Linked DNA regions of Oryctolagus cuniculus. The protein of the gene in region 2 interacts with the protein of the main gene of each other region in a biochemical or structural test. Links are inferred from orthologs where the notes say so. Each region holds a gene or a part of one and is shown on either strand. Other genes may lie near its edges. The genes, in order: JAM3, PARD3 and JAM2.

Region 1 (3,729 bases), on a different chromosome or scaffold from region 2:
ATGGTAGGATGAGACCAGTCTCAGTACTCTACTCCTAACAAAATGCCAGCAAGAGGCAGTAAACCCAACATAAGAACAAACAAGAAAGAAAGTATGGAGCAGACATTGATTTATTTAAAGCTTTTATAAATGAGTTTTAACAAATACCAAATTATAGGTGTGTTAGTACAAGTCTGTAACATCTATGTACAGCAACATCTACACCAAAAGCCAGAAGCACCGCCTGTTCAGGCCTTGAGCCTTCAATTCACATTCACATCTTAAAAATACTTGAGGGCTCCTGCTCTGTCTACAGTTTCACAGTAACAGGCAACTGCTTCCCCAACTCCACACCTTAATGCTGTCTCCTCTGACAGATCCAGCTCCCATGGCACCGGGGTAGATGGTTGGGGTGTAGGAAGGGAGGCAACAGGCCACCCCATCTTACGACAGCCGAGAAGGGAGCAGAGTGTTAAGCCCCAAGAAGTAGACTGGGGAGCTATCCCCTCCTACCAAGAGGAGGTGAAGATGAAGGGACAGTCTTAACTCTAAGCAGGCGAGACAGCAATGCAAAAGAAGACAGGTACCACGGAGGAATTGTTGCCTACGACTTCTGCAAAATATCCCGTAACAAAGTATGTCACATAACTTACAAAGGAAAGTCAACAAAAGGCTCAAGTAAAAAAACTGTCAAAGTACAAAAAAATTAAGACACTGAAAGTTGAATCACAAGGTGACTATGTTTTTCTACATAAAAACCATCCTTTAGGCACACAATGGAATTAGATGTTCCTTTTGAGAAACTCCTTGCTTCAAACCCCTTCACATCATGAGTGTAGCCCAGCGGTGTCTCTGAGGCTAAGAACATCTGCTCTTGAAGAACAAAGGCTTTGGATGATGTTTTTAATGTCCCCCACAAAGTGAGCACTGTCTTGGGCAGATAAAATATTTTAAATCAAAATTAGAAAACTGCTTTTGATTCAGGCGTGTGCTGTCCTCGCCATCAGGCTTTTTACCCTGGCTGTACTGCCCGACATGCTTCAGAAGGCTGGGCTGGCTGCTGCCACACAATGCTTTATTGTGAGCAGACGGAGAACCTGTGGTGCCGGGCGCTTTCTTCATGGCAAAGAGGAACGGTGGGATTCCTCTGTAAAAATACTGCAGTGGACAAACTTGATTTCAAAACTGCCCTTGGCCCTGGACAACCTCATTGAACTACACAAATAATTAAAATGAACTTTAGAAATGGCAGTAACTGCTTTGTTTTGTGAGCCGTCCATAGCCATAAAAAGGTCTGTCACGAGAACCCAAAGGCTGGGATGCCACAAGTGCTCCAGGACGCGTGCATACCACCGTGGAGGCGAAGGGTCCAGCACCTCAGGGGTTGTAAAGATGGAAGGGGGCGGGGGGCATCCTGGCTGTGACTCACCCTGGGAGGTGAACAGAGTGGTCTCTACGTGGACACCTGAAGGCTTCCGGGGGTCTTGGGGAGAGGCAGTTCAAAGCTAACCTGAGAGCTCCTTAGGTTTGCTTGGACAGACAGATTTCAATACTGCTAGATGAGAATTTTTCAAAGGTTTCCTAAGTAACAACCATCTGATGTACAGATGTCCTAAGTTCTCTTATGAAAAATGCTAAACCTTATGTGGCAAAAGGAATGTTCCAGTAAGCTTTCTTGAGAGGAGTCCTTGGATAAAATACTCTTAATTACTGATATTTTCCAATTCAACACTATTTGCTTGGAACTTCTACATTAAATTGACCTTTGTTTAAAAAAATAGGTTAACATTGTATGACAATATATTTACAGTTTAAATAGAAATTTTCTTCAATAATCAAAATACATCTTTAGCAGAAATTTAGAATGTAAAATTTTATAAAATAAACGAGACCCATAAAAAAGCATATTTCCGTACCATTTCTGACTTAGCCTATGACAGAGGTTTTGCTTCAATGCTGACACCCTCTTGGACATGCAGGGTTCCCCAGATTAGAAGACCCCTCTTCCAGCAAGGATTTACCTTCCTGATTTTTGGTTGTTTTTATAAAATGCTGATCCAAAAAGATTTTCCAAGATGGCTACTACAACAGTAACCACCAGAGCCTTTAGGAACACAGTGTGGGGGGCCTGTTGGCAGTGGAACAAGGCTGTCATGTGAGCCTTTTTCTGGGTTCACAGATGCAAATGTGGGCTGAGGGCAGTCACACAGCTGCCTTGTCACCTCCCATGGGCCCATCTGGCTGCTTGACAGCCAATGACAATACACTGGCTTCACAGAGCCTGTGCCTGAGAGCTGCTGTGATCACCCTAATAGGCGTGGGAATCCAAGTCGGTGTGTTCATTCTGTTTCCTTGTGGTTACCATGCCCATCTTGAGGAAAAATCTTTTATTCGTGTGGCTTGTTAAAAGAGTAAGAAAGGAGTAGCGGTCAACTTTGGCCAAAACAAAAAGCTTCTGCATGAGTGTCAAGCTCTGTCCTGGTGCACTCAGCAGGTTCACGGCTGCCCCGGACAGGAGATTCTAGTAGAGGTATTTGCACTGCTTTCAGCCACACGGCCAGGTTTCAGATCACAAATGATGACTTGTGCCTGAAGTCACCCTGCAAAGCCAATACAGATTAACAGCCAAGAGACCCCAGGGGCAGTGAGAAACAGAAAAACTAGCAAACTAAATGTGGGCCAAACGTGTCCTGGAGACTGAGCCATACTAAAAGCAAGTGTGAATCCCATTAGTGTGTGCATGCCACCGTGAAGGACTGAGGAGTGCAGGGTGTACACAGGAACTCAAAGATCTCCCTATGGGGCCCACTTGGTTTCCCGGCTGGGCATACCTGGACTTCCAGCTACTTACCTCTTCGTCTGTCCTGATATAGTTAACTCCATCTGACTTCCCTGGGGTCTTGTAACTGTGGACAGAAGGGGGCAATTCAGTGGCCTCATGCTCTGATCAAGGCTAGCTTGGGCTTAGATTTTTTCAGGCAAGGCGGGCTCACCTCTCTCCATCCTGCCTGTTGTTGATGAAGTAGCCACGTCTGTATGCACAGCAGATGCCCAGCGTTATCAGGGCCAGGACAGCAAGGACAACCAGAACACCCCCAATGATGCCAGCGATGTTGAGGTCATCTGAGAAGGAAGTTGAGGGACAAGATGACACATACCAGCTGTTCCTTAGGAAGACTTGAGCCCTCAGCCCCTTCCCCCGCCCTCCCAGACTCAGCCCTCTACCCACCCCAGCCAACCAGAGCAAACTGAGGGCACTAAGAGCTTTCTTCATCTAGAACACCATAACCCTGACTGAAGGGGTGAAAAGAACAGAGGCTGACAGTTCAAATGCACTGACACTGCATTCTGTGTTACAAAGGGCTTGGTAATATATAGAAAAATTTAAAATCCTCTGGCTAAATGCCCAAGACTGTTACTAATGGGAGAAATGGTTACATTGTATGGACAAGTTTAGGTGCCAGGAATCCAAAGTGAGTAAAAATTAATTTCCAGGATCTCACTTTCTTGTGAATTATTTGAAAGACGAAAGCTAGTTCCCAAGACTGGGAAGAAGCTCCTGGATTCATCCTGGCCCAGCCCTGGCTGTTGTGGCCATCTGGGGAGTGAAACAGTGGATGGAAGATTTTTCTGTCTCTTCCTCTCTGTAACTCTGTATTTCAAATAAATAAATAAATCTTAAAAAAAAAAAAAAAACTAGGAGAGACCTTGCCCTTCTACTGCACTGGCCCCCTAGCCTCCCACCTGCAG
Region 2 (4,318 bases):
TTCTTACACAGGGACGTCTATCACGGCCATCCGGGGCAGGACAGGGCCTTCAAGAGCACAGTAAGCACACAGTAAAGCCATGGCCTGCGACACTGGCGTCCCATGTGGCTACCAGTTCGAGTCCCAGCTGCTCCACTTCCAATCCAGCTCCCTGCTAATACACCTGGGAAAGCAGCAGGAGATGGCCCAAGTACCTGGGCCCCTGCACCCACGTGGGAGACCCAGAAGAAGCTCCTGGCTTCAGCCTGGCCCAGCCCTGGCTGTTGAGACCATCTGGGGAGTAAACCAGCAGATGGAAGACCGCTTTCTCTTTCAAATGCACACACACACACACATATAAAGAATTATATCTGTGAACTACATGGAGTCTGCTGTTTGTGCTACTATAACAGGAACAGGAGAATTCTGTTATAATTGACATGCATTTGCCGTGACCATGAAAATCTCATGTGTTAAATTCCGTATTAAAAAAAGACTTGACTCTTTTGATGATTAAAGGATTCACTCTAAAATGCCTACAGAAAACGTGTCTCTACGTGATTCTGTAGCTTGCATTCCCTTCCGAGCAAGCAAGGCTGTGAGAAAGACACAGACACGCTGCCTCTGCTTCAGTAAACACTCAGGAAAGCCGTGTCCGTGGCCACAGCAAGAACACGGCTGGCGCACGCCTGGGCCTGAAGACAAAGTCGCCCTAGCATCTCACCATCTCACGTTCGTCTTACCACAGCTGAATCTATTCTTCTAAAAGATTTTATTACTGGCCGGCGCTGCGGCTCACTAGGCTAATCCTCCACCTGCGGCACCGGCACCCCAGGTTCTAGTCCCGGTTGGGGTGCCGGATTCTGTCCCGGTTGCTCCTCTTCCAGGCCAGCTCTCTGCTGTGGCCCGGGATGACAGTGCAGGATGGCCCAAGTGCTTGGGCCCTGCACCTGCATGGGAGACCAGGAGGTAGCACCTGGCTCCTGGCTTCGGATCAGCACAGCGCAGTTGTTATTTGCCATTTGGGGGGTGAACCAACAGAAGGAAGACCTTTCTGTCTGTCTCTCTCTCACTAACTCTGTCAAAAAAAAAAAAAAAAAAAAGATTTTATTATTTATTTGAAAGGCAGAGTGACAGAGACAGGGGAAGAGAGAAAGAATCTTCCATCCACTGTTTCACTGCCAAATATCCCCAACAAGTGGGGCTCGGCCAGGCCAAAGCCAGGAGCCTGGAACTCCATCCGGGTCTCCCAGGTGGGTGGCAGGGAGACCAACCACTTGGGCCACCATCCACTGCCTTCCCAGACTCGATGGCAGGCAGCAGAGCAGCCAGGAATTGAACAGGCACCCCAAAACGGACAGCCGCATCACAGACAGCGGCTTAACCCACAGCACCACAACACCGGCCCCTGACCCAATCACCTCGGTAAAAACTATAATCGTTTAAGAAAAAATGAAATCTATAAGCCCTCCACCTGTCAACAAAGAGCATTCGGACAGAGCCTTGGTGATAACATGCTTGGCGTTCGTTCCTATCACAGTTTTCACAACACACGTAACCTCTCTTCACTCTGAGACACAGGCTTCACGTCCATCTCGGGGCTCACAGGATCCCTCCTAAGGGACGGCCTGTGGCCTCTGGAATAAGGCTCCTGCTGTGGTACTGTGGGTTAAGCTGCCACCTGTGATGCCAGCATACCACACAGGCACCAGTTCGATTCCCAGCTGCTCCACTTTCAACCCAGTTTCCTGCTAAAGGCCGGGGAAAGCAGTAGAAGATGGCCCAAGTGCTTGGGCCCCTGCACCTCATCAGGGACCCAGATGAAGCTCCTGGCTCCAACCTGGCCCTGATCTGGCTGCTACAGCCACTTGGGGAGTGAGCCAGCAGGTGGAAGATCTCGCTCTCTGTCTCTGCGTGCAACTCTAATAACCTTAAATAAACAACAATCAGGCTCCTGCTGTCAGACTTCTACACCACTCAGTTCTTGCAGAAGCAAAAGCCTGGGGAACTGAATATCGCCACCCATAACTTCCCTCTCCTAGGGGCACTCGCCATCAGAGAGGACGAGAGGAAGCACACGGACGCTTTCACAGATTTTCTGAATCCGGACAAACCGTCGCCAACGATGTCCACGGGCACTGAGCCTGTCAACCATTTCCGGGTTTGCTGATTCAATGGGAACAAAGATGACATTCTAATTGTTGAGCTTAGGAAAACCACGTTTCCTCAACATCTTTCCTGGACACAGCGCCCTCCTGGGGAACCACCCCCCCCTCAGCAGTGCCTCATGTTCTCCTGTGAACTTCATGGATTCAGAGCGCCCGGCAAGTGCCCTGCTGGCTTGGTCACTCAGTCATTCTGCACAGTTACAGAGGGAGACCTATCTTCCACCCACTGGCCCACTCCCCAAATGGCCGCAATGGCTGGGGCTGGACCAGGCTGAAGCCCGGAGCTCCATCCAGGTCTCCCACATGGGTGCAGGGGTCCAAGCCCTTGGGTCACCTTCTGCTGCTTTCCCAGGCCATAGCAGGGAGCTGCGTCGAGGTGGAGCAGCCGGGACATGAAGCAGCTTTGACCGGTGCTCATACGGGACGTAGGCGCCGCAGGCAGCCGCTTTACCCACTGTCCATTTCCCGCTTCACTCTCCGTTGGACAAACGCTCAGACGTGAGCCCCCCACCAGCTCTCCCACGGTCCACCTCTGAGAAACAGGATGGGCTTCTCCTTGAACCCGGCGTCTTCCAAGACGGAGCCACCTCAGCGACACACACAGATGAGGGGCCACACACGTTCTGGTCACAGGGACCCCCCAGGGCAACAGCAAGCGCCTGCCGGGCTTCCATTCTCTCATCAGAAAATCATCTTCCACACTCATCAGAAAAGCAGCAACCCAAACACCGCTGGTAATAAGACGCACCACGACGCCCTCCCCGCACAGCTGCAGGCGACATCTCACATGCAACACGTGACCTCCGAGGCCAAGGGTAAGGTTAAGGCAAAACTGCCCTTGAAAATCACTTACGCAGCCGGCACAGCAGGGGCACATTCAGCAGTCTTTTTCCAGAGCCCTAGCACTGCCAGTTTTCTTGCAGTGCTGGGAGACGCTCCCGTTTCTCTGGCTGAACACCAGAAGAAATGAGTCTGGTGCCTGCAGAAGAATACGGATTCCAGGCAAACATTTACAGTAGAATTAGCATAAATGCACACAACACAAGGCAACTGCAAACTGATCACGACGCAGCCAAGAGAACCGATGCATGATTTCAAAGCAAAACAGAAGCAGCCACCAAAGACCACGACCAAGGCAGGACCGCGCTGGTCACCCGTGGATGAAGCACCCTCAGAGTATTCCGGAACCAAGCACGTCTGCTCTGTGGCCCCGCAGGCATCAAACACCACGCGGACAGCAGACGGCATACTCCAGGCTCCGACGAGACCTCGCGCTCCCTGGTCGTCCACGGACACTTAACTTCAGCAAGCCCTGTGACTTCATCTTTTTTCAAAAAAGAAGCCACACAGCAGGGAAGAACCCACGAGGAGCCCCACCGCACTGAAGCATGCTATAGAAATCACTGCTTTGAGAACAGGTGCCATCCCCACACAGGGAGCTTGAGAACTGGAAACGTGAGGGTTTCTTTAAGTCTCTTTAATTCAGACACCTGTGCAACAAGCACCTGGTGTTCTAAATCTGTCTGACAGAAGCTGCCCAGAGCGCAGCAGCATTACGCTGATGGCCACTAGAACAAAGAGAACCAGGCTCTTCCCAGGACCACCATCGGGCAGCTAATGGAATGCAAGGTACCCTTTGCCCAAAAACCTACCACGGGGTGGGCGTTTGGCACAGCGGTTAGGATGCCCTGGGGGGCACCTGCACCCAGTATCAGAGTGCCTGGGGTGGAGTCCTGCTCTACACCCCACGCCAGCTCCCTGCTAATGCACACCCTAGGAGGCAGCAGGGGACGGCCCAAGTGTTTGGGCCCCTGCACCCATGTGGGAGATCCAGACAAAGTTCCTGGCTCCTGGCTGTTACAGCCATTTGGGGAGTGAACCAGCACATAGAAGATCTCTGCCTATCTCTCTCAGTGTCTCTGACACTCAAATAAATAAAATGAATTAAGCTTTTAGAAGCCTCTGGGTGTCATGAAGGAAGAGGAGCAGACTTGGCCTGTGTGCTCTGTCATAGCATGAATTAGCAAGGCTAAATTGCAGCAAAAAGCAGGACAGAATGGCATGTGTTCAAGAAGGCTTAACTCAGAACTGGCGGCTCTGGGAGTGCTGTGTTCACAACACAGCCCATCTCCCAGAGCACCAGCTGGGTAAGGATTTCCACACTGTGCACA
Region 3 (3,729 bases), on a different chromosome or scaffold from region 2:
AAGTGTTTTAAGGAATAATATCTATGAACTTGTGATTTTGATATTCTAGTTACTTTTTCCCTAGCACCCAATAACTATATAAGAAACAAAACTTAAAACTTTGTTTTCCAGGAGGACCACTTTAATTTGAAAATAATTCCTACTTATCTACTCTTGAGGTATAAGCTAGCTTAAAAGTTAAAATTAGTTTAGTACTCATCCATTAAGACTAGGTGTTTCGTGACTTGGTTTGGCATTTCCATCTTTTGAAATACAAAGAAACTTCAAAAAGTTTCTGGAAAATGGAATTGAAAGGTAAGCTTATTTCATGTAAAAGGAATTTGAAATCCATGTGTATTTTTCTCATCATATGCATTTCCATGGATTTTTGTGGTGACCTCTCATTATATGAATTTTTGAATTCATTTTCTTTGTGAATTATTACTAGTAACTTGTAAAGAAAACCAGACTCTGTTAACTGTTCTGCAGAAATTCTGTAGGACTTGCTGATGATTTCCAAGATGCCTCGTTGAACAGATTCAGCAGATCCCAATCCTACTTTCCCTTTCACCAGTTCGACTTCTTTCTTTTACTGTAGAATAATGGCATCTTCCTTTTAAAGTGGACTTTTCTCCCCCAAAGAAAGAACACAGAACATTTTCAGACTTATTGTTACATTTTCTCTTTGCTGAAGCTTAATACAGTTGTATGACTTGCTCAGTACCTCACAGAAGATGACAAATGAATGCAACGTACCTCTAATTCACTCTTCTTCCATCCTCAGTTTCCTTGAAGAAAACAGTGTAAAATGTGTATCCTGACTTAGCACTTACTGGACAAGAAATTTTTTGTCAGAATTTGCATTTAGGGTAAAATATTCATGGATGTCAAATTCTCCTACCAAGTACAGGACATTTTTTTTTTTTGTCAAATAATTGCCCTTAGATTGGACATACTACTGTATATATCAAATTTATGGACTACTACTATAAAAAAGAGTATATTTTAGAATTATATGTTTTTTGTTTGAAGATTTATTTATTTAAAAGGCAGTTACAGAGAGGGGAAAAGAGCACTTCCTTCTGCTGCTTTGCCCACAATGGCCACAACAGCCTAGGCATGGGCAGGCTGAAGCCAGGAGCCTAGAACTCCATCCAGGTCTCCCAGTTGGGTGGCGGGGAGCCAAGCATTTGGGCCCTCTTCTGCTGCTTTCCCAGGAGCATTAGCAGGGAGTTGGATTGGAAGTGGAGTGGCTGACACTCACTGGGACTCATATGGGATGCCAGCATCCAGGCAGCGGCTTAACCTGCTGTGCTACCATGCTTGCCCCAGAACTATATGCTTTTTTCTTTTTAAATATTTATTGATTGATTTGAAAGTTAGAGTCGTAGAGAGACATGGATCGACAGAAAGATAGAGATATCTTCCATCTGCAGGTTCATTGCCTGAATAGCTGCAATGGCTAGGGTTGGGCCAGGCCAGAGCAGGAGCTGGGCACTTCATTCAGGTCTCCCAAATAGGTGTAGGGGCCCGAGTACCTGAGTCATCTTCCACGGCTTTTCCAGGTGCCTTAGCAGGAAGCTGGATTGGAAGTGGAGTAGCCAGGACTCAAGCTGGTGCCCATATGGGATGCCAGTGCTGCAGGCAACTGCTTACCCACAATGGCGCCAACCCAAACAGTATTGTTTTCTTTTTTTAATTTTGCTTTTAACCAATATTAAATTCTGTGACTTATCTCATGCCCAAATTAATGTAAAAGAATACCAAATAAATACATTTTATTTCGGGATCATAGAACTTTTTTAAAATTTAAGATCCTTATAAAACTTAGTTCTATTAATATTGCAGTCAATTTTGAGCCATGTCCTGGAAGTGAATTAGCTGAACAAGCTACAAAAATAAGAAACTTTGCTTTGTGATTTGACTATAAAGCGGGAGCTTTGTTTGAACCTTTTCCATGTCATGCTCCCTCTGCTCAGCTACCTGAAATGGATTCATGCGTGGTTTACTTCACATTCTAGATGACCTCAACATAAGTGGCATCATAGCAGCCGTAGTGGTGGTGGCCTTAGTGATTTCGGTTTGTGGCCTTGGCGTGTGCTATGCTCAGAGGAAAGGTTACTTTTCAAGTAAGTGCACTTTCACAACTTCCGATGGACATACCCTAAAGACTTTCTAGAAAACTCTGGAAAATGTTTGTTGTTGATTTTCTACTACAGAAAATCTCTATGATGACATGCAGGTGGGTTACAAAGCACCGTGGCAACCCTAGGAAGAAAAGACAGAACTATCTCATTATAAAATTGCAGGAAACAACAGAGATATGTGAGACATCCGAGACATGGCACTCTGCCATGAGATAGATATATTCATTGTAGGCCAATATTTATAGCTTATTTATATGTGTTTAAGATTTTTTTTAAGTTAGGAATTATATGTCTCAAGAGATAAACTAATTTCTTATTTTGTAAGCAGTTTCATTGTAATAAATGAAATATTTATAAGTACAGAATAGTGAATTATTGAATGTCAAATGCACAGATGTATTTAGATGAGAATTGTTCAGTCAAAACTAGGAACCTAATGTATTAGTGTTGTTTCTGTACGGGGATTTTCATTCTTCAAGTTTACAGTAGAACTCTATCAGGAGATACATTGAATATTATATGTGATAAATTTTTTCTGTGAACATGGATCCAAAGAGATTTTCTAGAACTAAGAATAACTGCTCTGTGAATTAATAATAATTATTCATGTTTATAGTATTCCAATGTACTCTATTGTAATATAATTTTATGAATGAACTCCACCTGTGTCCCCCTGCTGGTTACCAATGAAAGTACACACTAGTACGATGCCTGTACACATTCAAAATTTATCATCTGAGTATTTTAATGAAGCATTCCTGAGCAAAGTTTTCTTAAAATAGTGAATTAGTTAAAGAGCATACTTGGATACTAGGAGTTCATTTGCCAAGAATGTTGCTTCACATTTAATCTGGCAGAAAACCTAGTCAAGAGAGCCATAATACTTTGACTTGCGTTTAGAATAGGAGCTGGCAAACTATGACAAGAGGACCAAATCTGGCCCCCCATCTGTTTGTCTATTGGCCCATGAGCTAAAAACAGCTTTTACAGATGAAAATTTGCAGTCTATACGATGATAGGGAGCACTAGCTTTCAACTGAAATTAAGGGGAAAATTCCTTTCTTCTAACTATTAAACCTGTATTATAAGACTTTGATTATTATTCAGTTTTGAATGTCATCAATAGAAATTTTAGAAATGTGCTTTCTGTCTTGTTGTAAAAGTACCTGTGTATATTGTTGATATTTGCCTCCAGACCCCCGAAGTTTAAAATATTACTGTCTGGACTCTTTACAGTAAAAATTTGCCAGTCCTTGATTTAGAAAGTACAAGTGTCAGCAGGTGAGAACCGAGGTGTTTTAGAAATTAAGCTCTGTGACTCTGTATCATTCCGTGTTATCTCTTGCATTAATGACACATACTTTTTTTTTTTTTTTTGTAGAAGAAACCGCCTTCCAGTAAGTATACCTTCTTTAAGTTTATTCCTTTTCCCCTGTATGAAGTAGTTTCCCATTAGTCATCCAAGGGAATGAGAGAGGAAGGAGGAGGGTGGGGTGGGAAGTATCACTATGTTACTAAATCTGTATGTATGAAATTTGTATACCTTAAATAACACTTTTTAAAAGTGTTTTAAAAAAATGGAAAGTTGGGTTATTTATGTAGG

Evidence for each region.
Region 1: the proteins of PARD3 (region 2) and JAM3 form a complex in vitro, tested with the Homo sapiens proteins (2 studies listed by BioGRID and IntAct, with this or other methods). The link is inferred for Oryctolagus cuniculus from reciprocal best matches to the Homo sapiens genes PARD3 and JAM3.
Region 3: the proteins of PARD3 (region 2) and JAM2 form a complex in vitro, tested with the Homo sapiens proteins (2 studies listed by BioGRID and IntAct, with this or other methods). The link is inferred for Oryctolagus cuniculus from reciprocal best matches to the Homo sapiens genes PARD3 and JAM2.

Annotation. Positions count from the first base shown.
Region 1 is NC_091432.1:128,329,106-128,332,834, reverse strand, and holds part of JAM3 (junctional adhesion molecule C), read right to left. Parts: intron 3,103-3,729; coding exon 2,973-3,102; intron 2,886-2,972; coding exon 2,831-2,885; intron 2,580-2,830; coding exon of another isoform or gene 2,544-2,579; exon of another isoform or gene 93-2,543; intron 1-92. UniProt on the Homo sapiens protein: Junctional adhesion protein that mediates heterotypic cell-cell interactions with its cognate receptor JAM2 to regulate different cellular processes. Plays a role in homing and mobilization of hematopoietic stem and progenitor cells within the bone marrow.
Region 2 is NC_091444.1:107,619,659-107,623,976, reverse strand, and holds the start of PARD3 (partitioning defective 3 homolog), read right to left. Parts: upstream 2,837-4,318; 5' UTR 2,822-2,836; coding exon 2,678-2,821; intron 1-2,677. UniProt on the Homo sapiens protein: Adapter protein involved in asymmetrical cell division and cell polarization processes. Seems to play a central role in the formation of epithelial tight junctions. Targets the phosphatase PTEN to cell junctions.
Region 3 is NC_091435.1:20,182,006-20,185,734, reverse strand, and holds part of JAM2 (junctional adhesion molecule B), read left to right. Parts: intron 1-2,000; coding exon 2,001-2,108; intron 2,109-3,507; coding exon 3,508-3,523; intron 3,524-3,729. UniProt on the Homo sapiens protein: Junctional adhesion protein that mediates heterotypic cell-cell interactions with its cognate receptor JAM3 to regulate different cellular processes. Plays a role in homing and mobilization of hematopoietic stem and progenitor cells within the bone marrow.